Linked DNA regions of Oryctolagus cuniculus. The protein of the gene in region 1 purifies or fractionates together with the protein of each later gene. This does not show direct contact. Links are inferred from orthologs where the notes say so. Each region holds a gene or a part of one and is shown on either strand. Other genes may lie near its edges.

Region 1 (10,341 bases):
AAAGCCGCTGCCTGCAGTGCCAGCAGCCCATAAGGGCACCAGTTCGAGTTCTGGCTGCTCCATTTCAGTTCCAGCTCTCTGCTATGGCCTAGGAAAGGAATAGAAGATGGTGGCCCAAGGACTCCCTACACCATGTGGGAGACCCAGAAGAAGCTTCTGGATTCGGATCAGCTCAGCTCCAGCCACTGCGGCCAATTGGGGAGTGAACCAACGGAAGGAAGACCTCTCTCTCTTTGCCTTTCAAATAAATAAATAAATCTTTAAAAAAAAAAAAAAAAGTGACAGTTCCCATAGACCTCTTCCTGACCATTCTCACTGCTGGCTCTCCACTGGGTACTGCGACCTGGATAGCTCAGACACTCAGAGTAAAGTCAAATCCATTACTTTCCTCCCCAACCTGTTCCGCTGCTATAGCCCACATCCATTAGTAAACCAATTCCGATCCCAACCCTGCAGACTTCCACAGTCGATCACCACGGCCTGTGAATGAAGCCGATTCTTTCCCCGCTCACTGGTACCTCAGGCTCTAGTTCCCGTATGCCAATCAAAGCCCCTGCCCCCCACTGCTACCCCTGGCATTTTCCTATGAACATGTCTCTGCTCTGCTTAAAAGCTGTCCGGTGGCTCCCTCTGCCTGTGAAAACAGACTAGACATGCAAGACTCAAGTCCACTCTGTACTTCCTCTTGACTTCTCCCACACTTTCCCAAGCTGCGCCTGACTTCTTGCCACCCTCAAACTCGCCTCTGTTCTCAACATGTTGTTCCCTGTCTGGGGAGACGCTCTCTGATGGACAAGGACATAAGCCTCAGCCATTCTCCCTCGCTGCCCAAAGGAGATGCACATAGGAATATATTCCTTGCCCTTGAATCTCAAATGGGTCTCATCCTACTGTCTTCATACCCACACCCCCAGTCACGGGAAAGACCAGTTTCAGGAATTCCCCTCTGCCTGCTGCCACTACCCCACCCCCACCCCCAGCCCTCCTAAAATGTAAAAAGGCCCGGCCTCTGGGGCGGGGCCATCAGTGTGCACATGGGCAACTGGTCACCCACCTCTACAGATTTATTTTCTCTGAATAAATTCGGTCTGGCTGTAAATTCGTACACTGCCTCCTCTCTATTCCGCACCTCGTGTGAGGAGGAACCAATCTGCAACTCTTCCTAACACTCTCCCCTCATCCACCTGAGAAACACTCCTTATCCTTCCAAGTTCTTTGTCAGGCCTTTGCTGACGCTCCCCAAGCCAAGTTAGTCACCGATTTCCTTCCTGGCTCTCAGCACCTGGCCCATTCCCTATCACAGCACCCGCTGTCCCGCGCTGTGTGTCCTTTTCCACACAGAGCCCTGCATGCTGCAAAGTGTCTGACGGACAGTACAGGCGGTCAACGTTCACGCTATTGAACTGAATACTAAACCAGCAAGAATGACAACGGGTCAAATACATTAAGAACACAAAGTGGGGCCAGCGCCGCGGCTCACTTGGCTAATCCTCCACCCGCGGCACTGGCACCCCAGGTTCTAGTCCCGGTTGGGGCACCGGATTCTGTCCCGGTTGCTCCTCTTCCAGTCCAGCTCTCTGCTGTGACCCAGGAAGGCAGTGGAGGATGGCCCAAGTGCTTGGGCCCTGCACCCGCGTGGGAGACTGGCAGGAGGCTCCTGGCTCCTGATCGGTGCAGTGCACTGGCCGTGGTGACCATTCGGGGGGTGAACCAACGGAGGGAAGACCTTTCTCTCTGTCTCTGTCTCTGTCTAACTCTGCCTGTCAAACAAAACAAAACAAAACATAACAAACAAACAAACAAACAAAAAACCCAAAAACACAAAGCAGATGCATGAGTGCTGGAGAAGAGAAATCCTAGCCAGTAAGGAGATTCTTTTAAGAAGTGTTCAGGGGCCAGCGCTGTGGAGCAGTGGGAAAAGCCGTTGCCTGCAGTGCCAGCATCCCATATGGGCACCAGTTCAAGTCCCGGGTGCTCCAGTTCAGTTCCAGCTCTCTGCTATAGCCTGGGAAAGCATCAGAAGATGACCCAAGTCCTTGGGTCCCTGCACCCTTGTGGGAGACTGGGAAGAAGCTCCTGGCTCCTGATCGGCACAGCCCCAGCCATTGCGGTCATCTGGAGAGTGAACCAGTGGAGGGAAGATCTCTCTCTCTCCCTGCCCCTGCTTCTCTGTAACCCTGAATTTCAAATAAATAAATAAATAAATCCTAAAAAAAAAAAGGTGGGGGCCAGTTCAAGTCCTGGCTGCTCCACTTCCGATCCAGCTCTCTGTCATGGCCTAGGAAAGCAGCAGGAGATGGCCCAAATCCTTGGGCCCTTGCACCCATGTGGGAGGCCCGGAAGAAGCGCCTGGATCCTGGCTTTGGATCGGCTCAGCTCTGGCCATTGCAGCCAGTTGAGGAGTGAACCAGTGGATGAAGACGGCTCTCTCTCTGCCTCTTTCTCTTTCTGTGTATAGCTCTTTCAAAAAAAAAAAATCAATCTTTAAAAATAAATAAATAAATGCCTTCTGTCTTTGTACCATTAAAAAAAGTAAAAATCAACCATTGTCCCTTGTGGTCAAAGCTAAATGCTTCCATGCTGCCTGCTGGTGAAACAGGATTCTACATTTATTTATTTTTCTTTCTTTTTTCATTATTTATTTGAAAGTCAGAGTTATAGAGAGAAAGAGAGAGAGGGAAAGATCTTCTATCTGCTGGTTCACTCTCCAAATGGCTTGGGCCAGGCCAAAGCCAGGAGCCAGGAGCTTCATCTGGTCTCCCATGTGGGTGCGGGGGCCATCTTCTGCTGCTTTCCCAGGAGCATTAGCAGGGAGCTGGATCAGAAGCAGAGCAGCTAGAACTTAAATCAGCACCCATATGGGATGCCACACTGCAGATGGTGGTTCAAACTGCTATGTCACAGCGCTGGCCCAAGGACTCTACATTTTATCATCTAGTAATACTGAGTGGATTCTTTTTCTTTCTTTCTTTCTTTTTTTTTTTTTTGACAGGCAGAGTGGACAGAGAAAGGTCTTCCTTTGCCATTGGTTCACCCTCCAATGGCCGCTGCGGCCGGCACGCTGCAGCCGGCGCACCGCGCTGATCCGATGGCAGGAGCCAGGTACTTATCCTGGTCTCCCATGGGGTGCAGGGCCCAAGTATTTGGGCCATCCTCCACTGCACTCCTTGGCCACAAAAGAGCTGGCCTGGAAGAGGGGCAACTGGGACAGAATCTGGCGCCCTGACCGGGACTAGAACCCGGTGTGCCGGCGCCGCTAGATGGAAGATTAGCCTAGTGAGCTGCGGCGCCGGCCGGATTCTGTTTCTTACCCAAATTTCTTCACCAACATGACAACCGCCCTCCCCCTTTCAGATGGTCTCAGCTCATACCCAGTCTTGCCCTAAGACTTGGTTTAGGCATCGCCTTCTCCAGGCAGCCTTTCTACGTGTCCAGGCCAGGATGGGACATCCTGTTCTGTGGTTCCACAGCACCCCGCACTTGGCCAACTTATCAACGCTTCCACTGTTTGGGTGTCCCAACCCCCACTTTGTAATGTAGCCCCCTCTGAGGGAAAGAATCACCTTCTTTTCTTTGCCTTTAATATTCTAAGTACACTTGTAGCCTCTACTCCCTAACCAGCCATTCTCAGGTCAAAACCATTTTTATCAAATAATATGCATCACTAACATATGTAATAAAACAAACACTTTAAACTTCTAGCCGATCCCGTTCCCTTTAACCCCCTTCCCAGCCTCCATTGAAGTCTTTGAGAAGATCCACACGTCCAGATGCCAGGACAGACCTTTTTCATCACCTCACTGGGTGCCAGGCGGCATTCAACACTCTATCTCCGTTCTCTCCTTCATGAGACGATCTTTCCAGAATATTGTACAGAATCACAATTCCTGGTTTTCTGCTGCCTAAGCAGCAACCTCTCTGACTTTCAACGACTCCTACTGTTTCTAGATTTCTAAAGGTTTGTGTGTCCCAGCACTTAGGGTCTCCGCCCTCTTAACTCCCTAGTTACGTCATCATTCAAGGCTTTAAATTATCACCCCCACACAATGACTCCTACTGTTCTTTCTCCGGCCCTGACTTCTCCCCAGCCTCATACATTCAGCTGCTCACTTGGCTGTCTAACTGGCATCTCACACTTGCAAGGTCCAAAACAGAACTCTGCATTTTACCTCCAAGTCTGCTAGCTTTATCCAGCTGCTCAAGCCCCAGACACAGGAGTCATTTTTGAACTCTCCCTTTTCCCCTCCACATTTTTAAAGATTTATTATTTGAGGGGCAGAGTTATAGTGAGTGAAGGAGAAGCAGAGACAAAGAAATCTTCCATCTGCTGGTTCATTCTCCAAATACCTGCAATGGCCAGGGGTGGGCCAGGCTGAACCCAGGAGCCTAGAACTCCATCTGAGTCTCCCACATGGATGGCAAGAGCCTAGATACTTGGTCCATCACCCACTGCCTTCCCAGGAAGATTAGCAGGGAGCTGAGTTGGAAGCAGAGCAGCCGGGACTTGAATTCTGATGTGGGATGCTGGTCCTAAGTGACAACTTAACCTGCTGTGCTACGCCAGCCCCTAAATCTTAGCATTCCTGTTCCTGCCATCACTGTCTTGCAGCTTTATTTGAGCACCTACCCACCTGTAATTACATGCATTCTCTGGTTTCTTGCCTGCTTCTTTGAACAGGAATTTGAGAGCAGATCCTCTGCCTACCTCACTGCTGCATCCCGAAGGACTAGAATGGTGAGTGGCCCAGAGTAGGCTCCATGAGTGTTATTCAAATACATAAACAAACGAGTTTACCTCTGTATCCCAAATGCTTAGCAAAGGTTAGGTGGCAACAGCCCTGTCACTGGCTTATTAGTTCTCCTGTCTCCCATGTAACCAATCCTCCACTGGCTTCTCGAATCCTCTGGGAATTTCTAATACTAGAATCACCCTCTGTGTGGTCCTAGACAGATTTGCCAATGTGAATTCACACAACAGAAAATAACAGGAGAAATTTCAGGGGAAAATATAATGGTCAATGTTTCTCTTCAGCCAACAGGCTGGCAGGAAAGCAGTAAGATGGCATCCTACTCGTGGTTCTGACACTCCTGGAGCTAGCAGTGCAGCCTGTAGTTACCTGTCTATACCTGAGGGCTGTGCTAGGCCTCAGCCACCCAAGCCAACAGGTGAGAGGAACCCGTGGTTCTAAGCAACGTGAGTGCTTCATCGGGAATAAAAACAGCGAGGCTCACAGAGAAAAGGTCTGAGGACTGGGAGATGCTCCTCGGGCCCAGCCGTCACGATGTCAAGGCACCACAGCCAGCGCAGAACAGCAGCCTCTGCTCCGGGCAGCTGCCACCTGGCCGGGACTTGTTCAGCACCACGTGTGCGCTCGCTCACCTGGCTGTGTGACTTGTTCAGCATCATGTGCGCATTCACCACCTCTAGGATGTGAGCAGTGAACTCGTTCATGTCCTCCAGGGGCATGATCTTAAAGGCTACCAGGCTCTTCTTGTTCTGTTAAAAATAAAGAGAAAAAGGAGAATTAAGGCTGAACACATTCAAGAGAATTTCAGGTCAAAACACTGTGGCTTTTGGGTCATGGTATTTTTGCCAATCAGGGGAAAATGTCTGTTATATACTTAAAAATTTCAACTCAGGGTGGTTCAAATATAGTCAATAATGAGGGAAGAAGTCAAATGAGCTCAGAGATGTTCATGGCTTGTCCAAGCTCACACAACCAAGCAGAGTCTAGTATCTGGACTGCAATTCAGAATTCTCTCTTTGACCCTTTATGGATGCCACAGATGGCAATTGTAGGTAGATTCTTTTTTTTTTTTTTTAACAGGCAGAGTGGACAGTAAGAGAGAGAGACAGAGAGAAAGGTCTTCCTTTGCCGTTGGTTCACCCTCCAATGGCCGCTGCGGCCAGTGTGCTGCAGCTGGCGTACCGCGCTGATCCGAAGCCAGGAGCCAGGTGCTTCTCCTGGTCTCCCATGGGGTGCAGGGCCCAAGCACTTGGGCCATCCTCCACTGCACTCCCGGGCCACAGCAGAGAGCTGGCCTGGAAGAGGGGCATCAGGGACAGAACCCAGTGCCCCAACCGGGACTAGAACCCGGTGTGCCAGTGCCACAGGTGGAGGATTAGCCTAGTGAGCCGCAGCGCCAGCCAATTGTAGGTAGATTCTATTTTTTCTCTATCATCCTGTTACTTTTATATTAAAGTACAAAGCAGTTCTGTCCTTTTGAAGAAGAGAATAATGAAGTAACTTCCCATTAAAAATGGAACTTAATTAAGTATTAAATATCTGAAACCTAGAAGCCACTTCATACAAATCCACTGTAACTGCCTTTTCATTGCCTTTACCTGGAAAGACCTCAGGTGACCAGCCACCTTCACGTATGTTTCTGGAGGAACCACGGTGTTCTCCCCACTGGCGTCCTAACAGATGAAATACAAACATGTCACAAAGGTCTCAGGGCACTAATGAAAGACAGCCTCTTTAAAATTTCTAAATATTGTACAGAATAAGAAAGTTACAAAGTAAAGAGCTAAAGGACCCTAATACGGCAATAACTAGTTTACCTCATTTTAGAGCTGCAAAAACCTCTCTAAAAATAATTCCCAGCTCCAAAGTTGTATGTTATGTACATCTTTCATAAAGGGCAAACAATTGTGACATCCTCACTCAACGTTCTCAGGTACACTGTTTTCTGTTGGACATGTGTGCTAGGAAAGCAACTCACTTTTAGAAATTAAAGGAAATAATTAAGAACATGCATTAAAATTCAGATTCATCAAAGTTATCAGAATACTGTTTAGATTACTAAATGTTTTAAAGCAACCTAAATATCCAACATAAAGGACACTTCATATAATGCAATATTCCACACTGCTGCAAACTGCGCACAATTCTACTCCCTGTCTGAGAAGAGCAGCTGTAACACTTTGAAAATGCTGATTTCTCAAGTGGGGGAAAATGTACACCAAAATGTTCACAGTGCTTAACTAGGATAATTATAAACAACTTTAATATTTCCTTCTTCCTAGAATATGCACATAATGTTTATATGACTTTGGAAAACTAGAAAATAAAGTGCACGCATTTAAAAATAAGAACACTGCGGGCCAGCCTTGTGTCTGTGGCCTGGCCCACCTCCGGCCGTTGCGCCCATTCGAGGAGTGGATGGAAGACTTCTCTCCCCCTGCCTTTCAAACTCCCTCTCTGTAACTCTGGCTTTCAAATAAATTAAAAATAAATAAATAAATAATTAAATAAAGCTGGATTGCTGTGTCTCTCCTCTTATCCATATATACTCCAAATACATGGAATGACTTACAAAAAAGAAAAACCATAGACATTATAGATAGAAATACAGACAATTAAAAAACACTTTGGGACTAAGAAAAACTTTTCAAAGTGAAAAAGGTAAGCTACAGAAACTGTTTTCACAGTTTCAAGGGGCAGCTATTTTGCTGTGCCAAATGTCCACTCCACTAACATATATTCTAGTTTCTAGTTCAGTTCATTTTCTTCTTCTTCTTCTTCTTCTTTTTTTTTTTTTTTTTGCATAAGATTTATTTATTTGAAAGGCAGAGCTACAGGGGGAGAGGGAGAGAGAAAGACAGAGAGAGAGAGAGAGAGCAAGCAAGCTCCATCTTCCATCCACTGGTTCATTCCCCAAATGGCTCCAATGGCCAGGGCGGGGCCGAGGTAAAGGCAGGAGCTTATAACTCTATCCAGATATACCACGTAGATGGCAGAGGCCCGAGCACTTGGACCATCTTGTACCGCTTTTCCAGATGCACTAGCAGGGGGCTAGATAGGAAGTGGTGCAGCATGGGATCAGTGCTGTGGTGTAGCGGGTAAAACCACCACCTGTAGAGCTGACATCCCTTAAGGGTGTTGGTTCAAGTCCCAGCTGCTCCACTTCCAATCTCTCTGCTTTGGCCTGGGAAAACAGAAGATGGCCCAACTCCCTGGCTTTGCATCCACGTGGGAGACTTGGAAGACACTCCAAGCTCCTGGCTTCAGATCAGCCCAGCTCTATCCATTAAGGTCATCTGGGAAGTAAACCAGCAGACGGAAGACTCTCTCTCTCCCTCTGCCTCTCTGTAACTCTGCCTTTCAAATAAATAAATAAATCTTAAAAAAATAAATAAAAGAAAGTGGAGCAGCTGGGACTTGAACCGTCACTAGACTATGGAATGCCGGCATTGCAGGTGGCAGTTAACCCACTGTGCTACAACGCCAGTTTCTCTTTCAATTCATTTTCTTCGTATTTATAGACAATCATATACACATTACATTACAAAAACGAGGTCAAATCATACATACATACATACATCTTGCAACACGTTCCTTTTCTCAAATTGACAGTAAATATTTCTTTGTGATGATACATACATTTCTAAATAATTTGCAGTATGTATAAATAAACCATGGCTTACTTAATAATCTCCTATTGCTAGCATTTTGGTTTTGCTTTTAATTTTTCATTAACACATTATGATCAACATTGTGTTCTGTTTTGTTTTGACAGGCAGAGTTAGACAGTGAGAGAGACAGAGAGAAAGGTCTTCCTTTGCCATTGGTTCACCCCCAAAATGGTTGCTACGGCTGGCTTGCTGCACCGATCCAGGTGCTTCCTCCTGGTCTCCCATGCGGGTGCAGGGCCCAAGTACTTGGGCCATCCTCCACTGCCTTCCCTGGCCACAGCAGAGAGCTGGACTGGAATAGGAGCAATCGGAACAGAATCCGGGGCCTCAACCAGGACTAGAACCCGGGGTGCCGGCGCCGCAGGCGGAGGATTAGCCTAGTGAGCCATGGCGCTGGCCATGATCAACATTCTTAGAAGTGAATCTTTGAATGCACCTTTAATTATGTCAGTATAAAACTCTAGAAGTAGAGTTGCTGTTTCAACATTTTAATCATTGAAAATTTTGACACAGGATGTTTGAGGAAGGGTTTGCCAATTCTTGTTTATATTATCGGGGTAGAATGGTATTTTTCCTTAAACAATGGCAAATCATTCAACACATATTAGGTGCCTACTAAGTGCGAGAGGCACTATGCTGCTCTCACCAGAACCTGACACTGTCATTCTTTGAAATTTCTTTGCCAATACAATGAATTAAAAATCGTATCTCGGGGTCAAAGCTGCGGTGCAGCAGGCTAGGCTGCTGCCTGCAGTGCCAGTATCCCATCCGAAGGCAGGCTCGAGCCTCAGCTCCCTGCTAACGCACTTGAAAAGGCAGTGAAGGATGGCCCAAGTGCTTGGGCCCCTGCACCCACGTGGGAGACCTGGAAGAAGCTCCTGGCTCCGGATCAGCCCAGCTCTGGCCGTTGCGCCCAACTGGGGAGTGAACCAGCGGATGGAAGACCTCTCTCTCTTTGCACCTCTCCTTCTCTCTCTGTGTAACTCTTTCAAATAAATAAATAGATCTTTAAAACTTCTTTGTCCATTTTCCTAAGGTGCAATTGTGGGTGTTTTTTTTCACTTTGTAAGCATTTTTAGTTAATATTTAAAATGTTTGTCATTTGTTGCAAATATTTTCTCCATTCATATAAACAGTAAACAGTATTTACTAAGTCAGGCTGGGCCAATTATGTCACTGACATTATTCTAGGTGTTCTAGGTGCTGGGAATACAAAGGTGATCAAAGAAATAATTTTTGTTCTCTTGGAATTTACATTCTACGGTGTCCTGTCACTTGCCTTTTTAGTATTTTGGGAAATTTACAAGGTTTTAAACTTTTCTTTTTTTTTTGACAGGCAGAGTGGACAGTGATAGGGAGAGACAGAGAGAAAGGTCTTCCTTTGCTGTTGGTTCACCCTCCAATGGCCGCCGCGGCTGGCGCACCACACTGATCCGAAGCCAGGAGCCAGGTGCTTTCCCTGGTCTCCCATGCGGGTACAGGGCACAAGCACTTGGGCCATCCTCCACTGCACTCCCGGGCCACAGCAGGGAGCTGGCCTGGAAGAGGGGCAACCGGGACAGAATCTGGCGCCCCGACCAGGGCTAGAACCCAGTGTGCCGGCACCGCAGGCGGAAGATTAGCCTATTGAGCCGCGGCGCCGGCCAAGGTTTTAAACTCTTACGAAGGGGCCAGCACTGTGGCATAGTGGATAATGCCGCTGCCTACAGTGCCAGCATCCCATATGAACACTGGATCAAGTCCCGGCTGCTCCACTTCTGACCCAGCTCTCTGCTATGGCCTGGAAAATCAGTGGAAGATGGCCAAAGTCCTTGGGCCCATGCACCCCCATGGGAGACCCAGAAGTTTCAGGCTCTTGGCTTCGGATCTGCCCAGCCCTTGCCATTGCGGCCATTTGGGGAGTGAACCAGCAGATGGAAGAT
Region 2 (10,816 bases), on another chromosome or scaffold:
TTTGATCCAGTATTTCTCACCCATACAGTGCTGAGATTCCTTTTCAGAATGAAACAACGTTTCTTGTAGCTACCCTTGACCTGTGATTCTGTATCAGGAAAAGGTCAATCCTTGGTAAGCCTATGCACGCTGAACATCCCTAATTCTAATAGCTGAAACCTGAAATGCTCCAAACCCGACACTTTGAGCATCGATATTATATCACAAATGGAAGATCCCACACCTGGCCTCATGTGACAGGTCACAGTCAAAATGCAAGTGCACTAAAAGTACTGTATAGGCGCAGGCATTTAATAGAGCTGTTAAGACACCACTTGGAGTACCTGGAGTCCATATCAGAGTGTCTGGGCTCCAGCCCTGGCTCCATTCCCAGCCCAGTTTCCTGCTGTTGTACACTCTGGCAGGCAGCAGGTGATGGCTCAAGGACTTGGGTCCCTGCCACCAAGGTGGGAAACCTGGATTGAGTTCATTGAACATCAGCTAACTTTGAAAGCTTTATTTTGTTGTGGCCCTTTTTGTATTTTCATTCCTATATTAGGCATCTTTCATTCTCTAATTAAGTTGCTTACTGGGTGCAAAATACGTTGTCAGTTGTAAATTGAGTACTGTAAATGTGGTGAGTGACTGAGATGCCAGGATCATAACATGGAAGGTAATAGATGGTGTAGTGTAATGTGGCAGTTAAGAATATGGACGGGGGTTGGACTCGCAGTTCCTGCTTCCTGCTAGCGTAGACCATGGCCGGCAGCAAGTAATGACTCAAGTAATTGGGTTCTTGACACCCATGTAGGAGACCTGAATTGACTTCCAGATCCTGGCTGCGGTGGGCGTTTGAGGAGTGAACTAGTGGGTGGGAACTCTGTGTCTCCATCTCTGTCTGTCTTTCTGCCCCTTAAATGAATGAGTGAACATGGACTTGGGAGTTAGACTACCTGGTTTGGAATCCTGGTTCATCACATGCCAGCTTATTACTTTGAACAGTGCCTAACACAAGACCTGTAGGGGCTGGCCCTATGGTGCAGTAGGTTAGTCCTCCACCTGCAGCACTAGCATCCCATATGGGTGCCGGTTCTAGTCCCGGTTGCTCCTCTTCCAGTCCAGCTCTCAGCTGTGGCCTGGGAAAGCAGTAGAAGATGGCCCAAGTGCTTGGGCCCCTGCATCCACATGGGAGACCAGGAAAAAGCACCTGGCTCCTGGCTTCTGACTGGCACAGCTCTGGCCATTGTGGCCATTTGGGGAGTGAACCAACGGAAGGAAGACCTTTCTCTCTGTCTCTCCCTCTCACTGTCTGTAACTCTACCTCTAAAATGAGTTGTGGCATGGAGAGTAAGACCAGAACAGAAAGCTGAAAGGCCACTCTGCATCTTTTTGTCAAGATAGACCCCCAGACTGAGAGCCACACTTTACCAGGGTCTACATCAGACCCATGGGACTTCTCCCATAGGAACGGTTTCTCTCTAACGGGATTTTTTTTTTTTTTCCTTTCCTTTTGCAGCCACAGGTGGAATTAAGAAATCTGGCAAAAAGTAAGCTGTTCCTTGTGCCTGAAGTGATGACGCCCTTGATTGCATTCCTAGCTAAACATCTCGATTCCCGGCCATAACATCTTATGCCACCGTAGTTAGAATGAAGTGTTAAGAGTTAAGTGTTATCTTGGAGCCTGTTGTACATTTACAAATAAAATTTTGTAAAAAGGGGAATAAACTCCACTGTACTGTAGCTCACTGTCTTAGTTGTTTTCACTCAGCCACTCCCAGCTGTGAATTTAAAGTAAACCCAGCCGAGAACCCTTCCAGAGTCTGCTCTTTGCTCTCCAAATTCTGTGTCACCTGGAATTAAACCACGGCATTGGAAAGGCTGTAGCTCCTGTGTGGTTGTGTACCTGACAATACCTTACATGAGATTTGTGGAAGAAGTACTTGGGAAGGAAAACGTGGCTCCTCTTTCTCTGCTACAGTACGCACGTGTGCTGTGTGTGGCCACCGGGCCAGTGCCAGTAAACAGCCAGCGTCAGCGAGCAACTTCCTGTCGTGGGAGGGGGACAAGACGAATACAGGAGATGTGCACCGTGAAAGGGGAAAGAAGGGAGTGAGATTCCTGAACGTCTCTTCAGTATCAGACTCCCCCAGAAGCCCTAGGGACAACATTTGCACTAAGGTCCTTGCTGGGGTCCCATGTTAGACCTCACATCCAGTCCATGAGCAAAATCAGATTACCTTAGTGTCCTCTCAGCGCCATGTGCCCACTGCAGCTCTGACCCTTCACCTGTATGACTGCAGTTGCCTCCAGAGTTCACTCGGGTCCAGAGCGCGCTTGCTGAACCGTGAGTCATACTTTGTTTCTTGGCTCAGAGTTAGCAACGCCACAGTGCAAAGGGGTATGGATGCCACTGCCTTATATGCATTACCCAGCCCCCGGTCCTCCTCAGCCAGCGGCTTGAGGCCAGCTCCCAGCTCCTTTCCACCTGCACGTTCTCATAGATGCTGAACACTCCCTGTATTCCTCAGAAGACCAAAACTCCGCCATCACAATAGTGAGCTCTCCTGCTAACAATGAGTTTGCAGTCAGTCCCATTGTCTTTATTTTTCTCTCCCAGTTATCTACCATCTCTGACTAAAATGTAAACGTTAGGACAGTGACCATAAGGTGTGCTAAATGTGGAGGTACTCCAAAGTCTGCAGGAAGTGGGAGTTTATTTTGGTGGCAAAATATTTTGAAGCCCATGATAGTCACATGTATTTATTGTATCACTTCAGAAGCACAAGTGCAGGCCATTGATGCAGCTATGGGACTAAAGCTAAGCTTTCTCTGAGGATGTCCTCAGAGAGGCTTGTAGGCTTGGCCAGGTGAAAACTGGAAAAGTGACAGATTAAACCCTGTCCTGTGATTAACGTAGTCGATGGTGACAGGGTGCTTTGGTCCTCTGGGAAGTTGCACAACTAGCAGCTCCTCTGGGCTGCAGAACATTTCCCATGGGGCCTTGCAAGCTGGCACCCCGCAGTGTGCTGTCAAAATCAGTCCTTGCACCGCCCGTGAGAGCACACTGCCTCTGAGAGCAAGTCGCTGCTCTCTGGCAGAATCTAATCCCTCCTGATGGGTGATCCTGTCTTTCCAAGGCCAGAGACCTACAGCAATTAATATGGAAGCATTCGACATTTGTGCAGCCGAGTTTCAGAAAACACGAAAGCCTTCTAGGACTTGACAGCAGTCTGCCCTCACAGGTATTGGTAGGAGACTCAGGCTCAGTTTGGCACTGAGTACCCAAGGTTTAAGAATCTTGCTCCTGTTACTCTCCGTGCCAATCTCCCCTGTTCAACTGCTCTGCGCACCGCAGCTACCACTCTGGGAAGCCTTACTGTCTGCCATAGATTACCAACACCTGGCCTGCCTTGGGTGGGGAATTCTGCGCTAGCCTTCTACCCCTTTATCTTGCTGTCTCCCACCTGACAACCTGTAGGACAGCCCAGGTGCCACTTCGGGGGGGGGGGGGGGCTCTTCCTTGACCTGACCCTCACTCATCTTTATACAACCAGTGCTTGTGACAAATATGCTCCAGCAATCTCCGAGAGAATGAATGAATGAATGAATGAAAGAAGTCTGAGCACTTCCCACACGGATGGTTCTCCTTGGACCTGTCTTCCCGAAACCTACCTCAAATGCCACACATTTCACACTCCTCGCCTAATCTCCCTAAAGGAGCCTCGGAGTATGTGATGGAAAGAGGCAGCGAGCTCTCGGGGGCCAGAACCCTGAACTCTGCCTGCCTCGATTCAAACGCACAAGGGTGACTGTCAGGGCGAACTGTCCCCCGCAGTTCTGTGCTCTGCTGGGCGCCAGGCAACCTCGAGGTTTCCCCGAAAACCCCCGGCGCCGGAGCCGGGCTCAGCTGGGCGGAGAGGGGCGGGGCGCCATCGACACTGGCGGGGACTCGGCCGAGCCTGGCGGCGCGCTCGGAGAGACGTCATTTCTCCGCGCTCGCGGGCCGGCAGCTGATTGGCCCGTGGGGTCGGGGGCGGTGCATAAGAGGCTGAGGCGAGTGCCGGCTCGCGGGCGGTTGGCTCGCCGGCGGCTTCGCGCTGCCGTGTGGGATTTGGCGTCTTCAGATGCTTGGGGCCGGCTGGAGGCATGGCTGGGACCTCCGCGCCGGGCAGGAGGCGGAGCGGGCCCGCAGCCCCTCGCCCTAGCCCGCTGCCCTCCACTGGGCACCCCCCAAGCAAGCGGGCCCGGGGTTTCCCTGAGGCCGCCGCCCCGGACCCTGAAGACCCGTTCGGCGAGCACGGAGACTTCACCGCTGACGACCTGGAGGAGCTCGACATCCTCGCGTCACAGGCCCTGAGCCAATGCCCGGCCGCGGCCCGGGACGTGTCCAGTGAGTGCCCTTCCCGGCCTCTTCCCCGGAGGGCAGTGCAGACCGCACCACATCTCCTTGACCGCTGTGGCTTCCGAACTCCAGGCGAGCGCTGCCCCAGTGTCCTGAACTAACACTCCCTTAACCTTCTTAAAAATACAGTAACGCCCCGATTGGAGCAGTTGGTTGTGTTCCAGGAGCTCCCTCGATTTGGGGGAGAAATGCATCTGGAATATCACTTGGAAATATAGAAAGCTAGGTTGACTTTTTTTTTTTTTTTTTTTTAAGTTAAGGCTACTCGGTTCTTAAAAGGTTCTAAGCAGAGATCCGTGGAACACATCTACCGGAACCATGGCTACCCACGTGCGAGTCTTTAAATCTGAAGCCCTCGTGCCCCTTAGCATGAGCCTAGGAGGAGCCTAGCAGAGGCAACAGATCAAAAATTTATTCTTAGACAAGCTTAATCAGCGCCACATGCAGCCGGCCTACCAATTAACAAAATAGGGCACATCCTGCATGGCGCTCGCTCCGTAGTTGAGTCTCATGCGGCTTCCAGAAAGGTTTCCGGGACATCTTGCCTCTGTAGTTGTTTGACAGGCATCTGAAACTCAACACGGTAATGGTCCGGAAACCCAGGCCTCCTGCAGCGTCTCCCGCGCTATTCCCGCTCGGCAGACTTGGAGAAGACACCTGTGATGACCAGATGCTCCCCCCGGCAGACTGTCTTCCGCCTTCACCCTACCTCTCTTTCCTTTGCCAATCCTGCCCACTTCCTGGGTCTGTCTCTGGACTCCATCCTGTTCCCATGGTCTCTGAACTCCCTGAGAGTCCGCCCCTGCACGAGATTGCTAACCTGGCTCCCCATTCCCTGTGCTGACTGCCTGCAAGTCAGACTTCACACTACAGCCAGAACGATCCTTGCAGAACCCACACTGGGCCATGTCGCACAGACAAATGTGAACATAGCTGCCGGACGTCCTTTAATAACTTCCCTCTGCTTCTAGAATGAAGACCTAAACCCTTAACGTGCGTGGTCTGCCCCGACTGCTAGCCACACTAACTTTGCCTCGTTCTGTGATTGCTCCCTGTTTGCTTCTAATACAGGAACTTTGCACGTTGCTCTTTGTTACACACTGACTGTTCTTGCTAGCCATCTGCCCTCAGGGTTCAGTCCGGCTTGTCTTTGAACCACAGCTCCTGAAGGCTTCCTGAGGGAAGCCTTCCAGTCACTGCGTTTGGCTCAGATGCCTCTTAGCAGAGGCTCTCCTCACGGTTGTAATTTAACATTTATTTGTGTATGAAGACTGTATCTGTTGTGTTCCCCATGCCAGCTGTATTGGCGCTCAGTAAATACTGCTAAATAACGTGACACCGAGCTCTGGCCGGTGAGAGCCCCTCACCACCTCTCACCCTTCAGTGAGACTTGAAATCGGGTGAGGATATAGACAGGGTGAAAAGATCCACTATTTCCTAAGTATCATTTATGAGTTTGAATCCTCCTCTTAGGTTGGGAATTCCCTATATGTCTTGCTTATAGAACTTTCTCTACTTTGCTCTCAAGATTGATTCTTTTCAGCATTTTCTAGCAAAAGTAGGAAAATGTTGGGTGCTAAATTATGTATGGGAACTGTTTTTTCTTTTCCTACAGGTATTCATAAAGTTCCCAGGTTAGATGGGATGTCAAAAACTCCAGCAGGGAAAAACAGAGAAAGTGTACCTGTTAAAGATAATTTTGAGTTAGAAATACTTCAAGCACAATACAAAGAACTAAAAGAAAAGGTAAGTAATTTAACCTGTGGTTTTTGCAGTTAATTCATTCACTTACGTGTTAGAAGACATTGTACAATAAAAGATAAAAATATGAAGGTTTTTAAGAGCATAGATTCACAGCTACAAAATGAAGAACACTGGGGAAAGAAAGCCAGAACATTTAGGCTGAAGAATTATAGATTGTGAGGTTGCTTAGAGCTAGGCGAGAAGAAAAAATTATGGGAAAGGTATTTGGCACAGAACTTTAAGATGCTACTTGGGGCCGGTGCCACGGCTCACTAGGCTAATCCTCCACCTTGCGGCGCCGGCACACTGGGTTCTAGTCCCATTCGGGGTGCCGGATTCTGTCCCGGTTGCCCCTCTTCCAGGCCAGCTCTCTGCTGTGGCCAGGGAGGGCAGTGGAGGATGGCCCAAGTGCTTGGGCCCTGCACCCCATGGGAGACCAGGAGAAGCACCTGGCTCCTGCCATTGGATCAGCGCGGTGCGCCTGCCACAGCGCACCAGCAGCGGCAGCCATTGGAGGGTGAACCAATGGAAAAGGAAGACCTTTCTCTCTCTCTCTCACTGTCCACTCTGTCAAAAAAAAAAAAAAAAAAAAAAAAAAAGGCTACTTGGGATGCCCGCTTTCTGTATCGGAATGTTTGATTTAAATCCCAGCTCTGCTTCTGATTCCAGCTTCCTGGTGAGGCACACCCTGGGAAGCAGCAGATGATGGTTCAAGTGCTTGGGTCCCTGCCACCCATGCGGAAGACCCTGATTGAGTTCCAGGCTCTCAGCTTCAGCCTGGCCCAGCTCTAGCTGTTGCAGACGTTTGGGGAGTGAACCAACAGGTGGAACATCACTCTGTCACTCTGCTCTTCTAATTAAAAAAAAAGTTTTTTAGAAGGAAAAGAAACATTTTATACTAAATCCAAGAAGAGATAAAATGAGAGATGAATTTATGGTATGCATGTTTTTTTAATTTTATATTTAAATAAATTTTTTTAATTTACTTATCTGAAAGGAAGAATTACTGAGAGGCAGAAGGAGAGGTCTTCCATAAGCTGGCTCACTCCCCCAGATGGCCACAAGGACAGAGCTGTGCCAGTCGAAAGGCAGGAGCCAGAAGCTTCTTCCTTGTCTCTCACATGGATGTAGGGGCCCAAGTACTTGGGCCATCTTCCACTGCTTTCCCAGGCCATAGCAGAGAGCTGGATCGGAAGTGGAGCAGCCAGGACTCGAACAGGCACCTGTATGGGATGCCAGCACTGAAGGTGGTGGTTTTACCCCCCATGCCACAGTGCCGGCTCCTAAATAAATTTTTAAGAAAAGTTGTTTGAAAAGGCAGGATGACAGAGGGTAAGGTAGAGTCTCATCTGGGACTCCCACGTGGCTGGCAGGAACCCAAGTGCTTAGCTATTCTCTGTATCCCAGAAAGATTAACAGGAAGCTGGGTCAAAAGTGTGGTGCTGGGAAATGAACCCTCACACCAGTGTGGGATGTGGGCATCCCAAGCACTGGCTTAACCTACTGTGTCACAGTGCCCACCCCAATAATTTTTTTTTAAAGATTGATTTATTTAGTTGAAAGACAGAGTCACAGAGAGGCAGAGAGAGAGAGAAAGGTCTTCAATCCACTGGTTCACTCCCCAGTTGCCCACAATGGCTGGAGCTGCACTGATCTGAAGCCAGGAGCCCAGAGCTGCTTCTGGGTCTCCCATGTGGGTGCAGGGGCCCAAGGACTTGGGCCATTTTCTACTGCTTTCCCAGGCCATAGCAGAGAGCTGGATCAGAAGTGGAGCAGTCAGGACTCGAACCGGCACCCATTTGGGATGCTGGCACTGCAGGTGGCGGCTTAACTCGCTATCCCACAGCACACACCCCCCTCCCCTTTTTTTAAGATGTATTTGTTTGAAAGGGTTGGAGAGATCTTCCATCTGCTAGTTCAGTCCCCAAATGCCCACAATAGCCAGAGCTGGGCCAATCTGAAATCAGGAGCCAGGAACTTCCTCCAGGTCTCCCACATGGGTGCAAGGGGTCCAAGGACTTGGGCCATCTTCTGTTGCTATCCCAGGCCATAGCAGAGAGCTGGATTGGAAGTGGAGCAACCAGGACTCGAACTGGCGCCCATATGGGATGCCAGCATTGCAGGCAGCAGGTTTACCCACTATGCCACAGTGCCGGTCTCCCTGTGCTTTCTGTATCTCCCCAGCTGTAGATTAAAACAAAGTGTGTAAATAACTTTACCGTACAGACTTTTCACAAGATTAATGTTTAATTTACAGCTGAAGGCGATGGAAGAAAAAGTCCTCATTAAGAATGGAGAAATTAAAATTTTGCGAGACTCGCTGCATCAGACAGAATCTGTTCTAGAGGAGCAGAGAAGATCCCATTTCCTTCTTGAGCAGGAGAAAACCCAAGCCCTTAGTGACAAAGAAAAGGAATTCTCCAAGAAGGTGAGCAAAGCATTCCTTGAGAAGCAAGGGCCGGTGTTGCCCAGGGAGGTTTCAGCACGTGCTGTGGTACACACTTTGGTGCTTTTAGCTAGTTGTCCCGCAGATGTTCTTCCGTGGTGTGCATGTAGTCAGGAAAATGACTTAGATGAAATGCCACTTGGCCCTGGTAGTTGGTCTTAGCAAGGCTAAACCCCTGATTTAGAATGTCTAGAAGCAGGTAAATGAAGGCTCTTGTAGTGGGTTAGAAACTTACTTGACCTAGTGTAGGCGAAAAGGGAATGTATTGGCTTCCGTAATCGAGCCTGGGGGAAACTGGAATGTCTTCAACCTTGCCAGGACACAATTTCATGGCCTGTGCTCTAGAGAGGCTCCCTCCTGGGGCAGAGGATGTGTTCTCCAGGAGCTGCCGGGCTGACTTCCTAACTCCAGTGCAGAGTTCAGACTGGGGCTCCCTTATCTGAAGGCTTAAAATTCTGAGGAGGCCTGTGATAAACCTAACTTGAGTCAGGTGCTTGTCCCTGGATGAGCTGATATAAGCGCAGAGATAAAATCTGCCACTGCAGTCACGCAGAGGTTGAGAGGTGATTGCTTCTCAGGGACAAGGAGACACTGTCCTGGGAGAGAGAGCAGTAGGCATCCAGTGCAGACCTGCGCTGCCTTCTGCACGTGCTGATGCTTCAGGCCCACTCAGGAGCTCTCACTGCCATTGCTTCATTGCACACATTACAGTGAGCACTTAGCCATCCCCAGCACTAATGGCAGTTGACTTTGCACGTTCATGATGAGGAACAGGGAATTCGTCATCAGACAAATCAGTTTGATTTCCAGCTTCATCACAACCAAGTGGTGACCTCAGTGTAATGACCTAAGCTCCGTTATCCTTTGCCCTTATCTGTTTCAGAATGAAATCGGAAAGTCTATTGGGAGGCTCACATACTTCTTGTGTGTGATGATGCCTGGCATGGAGCAAGAGTGTGTTTAGGAAATGATGGTGGTGTCTATTGGCTGGAGGTCCTGGGGTTTTCATAAAACCATTCCAGATTTGCTGCCCAAACTTTCAGGAAGACCTGGAATTGTCCTTCACTGCCTAAGATCAGCTGTCTTGCTGAGATGCGGCTGCTTGCCAAGCACTTTGCCAAGCTGGGCGTTTTATGTTCGTCATTCCATTGCATCCTCCCAACCACGAGGGAAGAGAGACGAGCTGAGGGTCAGTGAGGCTAGGTCATGGCGGGGGCGGGAGTTCACCCTCAGACTGCCCGTACAGTAGCCAGAGTCCAATATCATTTTAGAGTGTCATGCTGTCTTTGAGGAAGAAGGCCAGTGTTTGATGTTGTAGGACATTGGTAGAGTATTTTTCCTTTACTAGCTTGGGATTTTTGAGTTCACAAGATATTTTGGTGTATCCGTTGGGGCCACTTGGAGTATGTTCCCTGTGCTTTCCAGCTCCAGTCATTACAGTCGGAGCTCCAGTTTAAAGATGCCGAGATGAATGAATTAAGGACAAAACTTCAGAACAGTGAACGAGTAAACAGGCTGGCTTCTCCCTCCGTCGCCCATGTCAGGTAATGACGGTGCTGGAGAGAGACTTCAGTTTTGTGAGTTCAGTAAAAAGTCTCCATAGCTGGATGAGGCTAACGTGAGCGAGGGTCCTTGATGCTGTGCCATCTGGGGAGAGAGCCTCTTTCCTGAAAGAGGGGGATCCATCCAAAGGTGGATGAGGCTTTCATGGCTTGAGGCAGTATGGGCATAGAGACCCATACTCCAGAAGTCTTACCTCTATATGGGACTTTTTTTTTTTTTTTTTTTTTAAAAAGGTACTGATTACCTTTCAACAATTTATTTATTTGAAAGGTAGAGTTGGAGAGGCAGAGAGGGGTCTTCCATCTGCTGCTTCACTCCCTAAATGGCCACAGCAGCTGAAGCTGGGCCAATCCGAAGCCAGGAGCTTCTTCCAGGTCTCCCACATGGGTGCAGGGGCCCAAAGACTTCAGCCATCTTCCACTGCTTTCCCAGGTGCATTAGCAGGGAGCTGGATCAGAACTGGAGCAGAGGCCGGCACTGTGGCACAGCAGGTTATCGCTTTCCCAGGCCATAGCAGAAAGCTGGATCAGAAGTAGAGCAGCTGGGACTCGAACTGGCGCCCATAAGGGATGCCAGCACTGAAGGTGGTGGCTTTACCCACTACACCACAGCGCCAGCCCTCTATGTGGCACTTTAGAAACACAATTGCTTGGGACTGAGAAAGTTGAAAAGATGATCTCCAA

What was found.
Region 2: the proteins of RPA2 (region 1) and ATRIP purify together in Homo sapiens (affinity purification with western blotting; 5 studies listed by BioGRID, with this or other methods). This does not show direct contact. The link is inferred for Oryctolagus cuniculus from reciprocal best matches to the Homo sapiens genes RPA2 and ATRIP.

Annotation. Positions count from the first base shown.
Region 1 is NC_091438.1:143,729,255-143,739,595, reverse strand, and holds part of RPA2 (replication protein A 32 kDa subunit), read right to left. Parts: intron 6,422-10,341; coding exon 6,347-6,421; intron 5,498-6,346; coding exon 5,381-5,497; intron 1-5,380. UniProt on the Homo sapiens protein: As part of the heterotrimeric replication protein A complex (RPA/RP-A), binds and stabilizes single-stranded DNA intermediates that form during DNA replication or upon DNA stress.
Region 2 is NC_091441.1:100,602,905-100,613,720, reverse strand, and holds the start of ATRIP (ATR-interacting protein), read left to right. Parts: upstream 1-4,019; 5' UTR 4,020-4,125; coding exon 4,126-4,453; intron 4,454-5,996; coding exon 5,997-6,127; intron 6,128-8,381; coding exon 8,382-8,552; intron 8,553-9,995; coding exon 9,996-10,114; intron 10,115-10,816. Other genes in the region: TMA7 (translation machinery-associated protein 7), read left to right, coding at 1,496-1,530. UniProt on the Homo sapiens protein: Required for checkpoint signaling after DNA damage. Required for ATR expression, possibly by stabilizing the protein.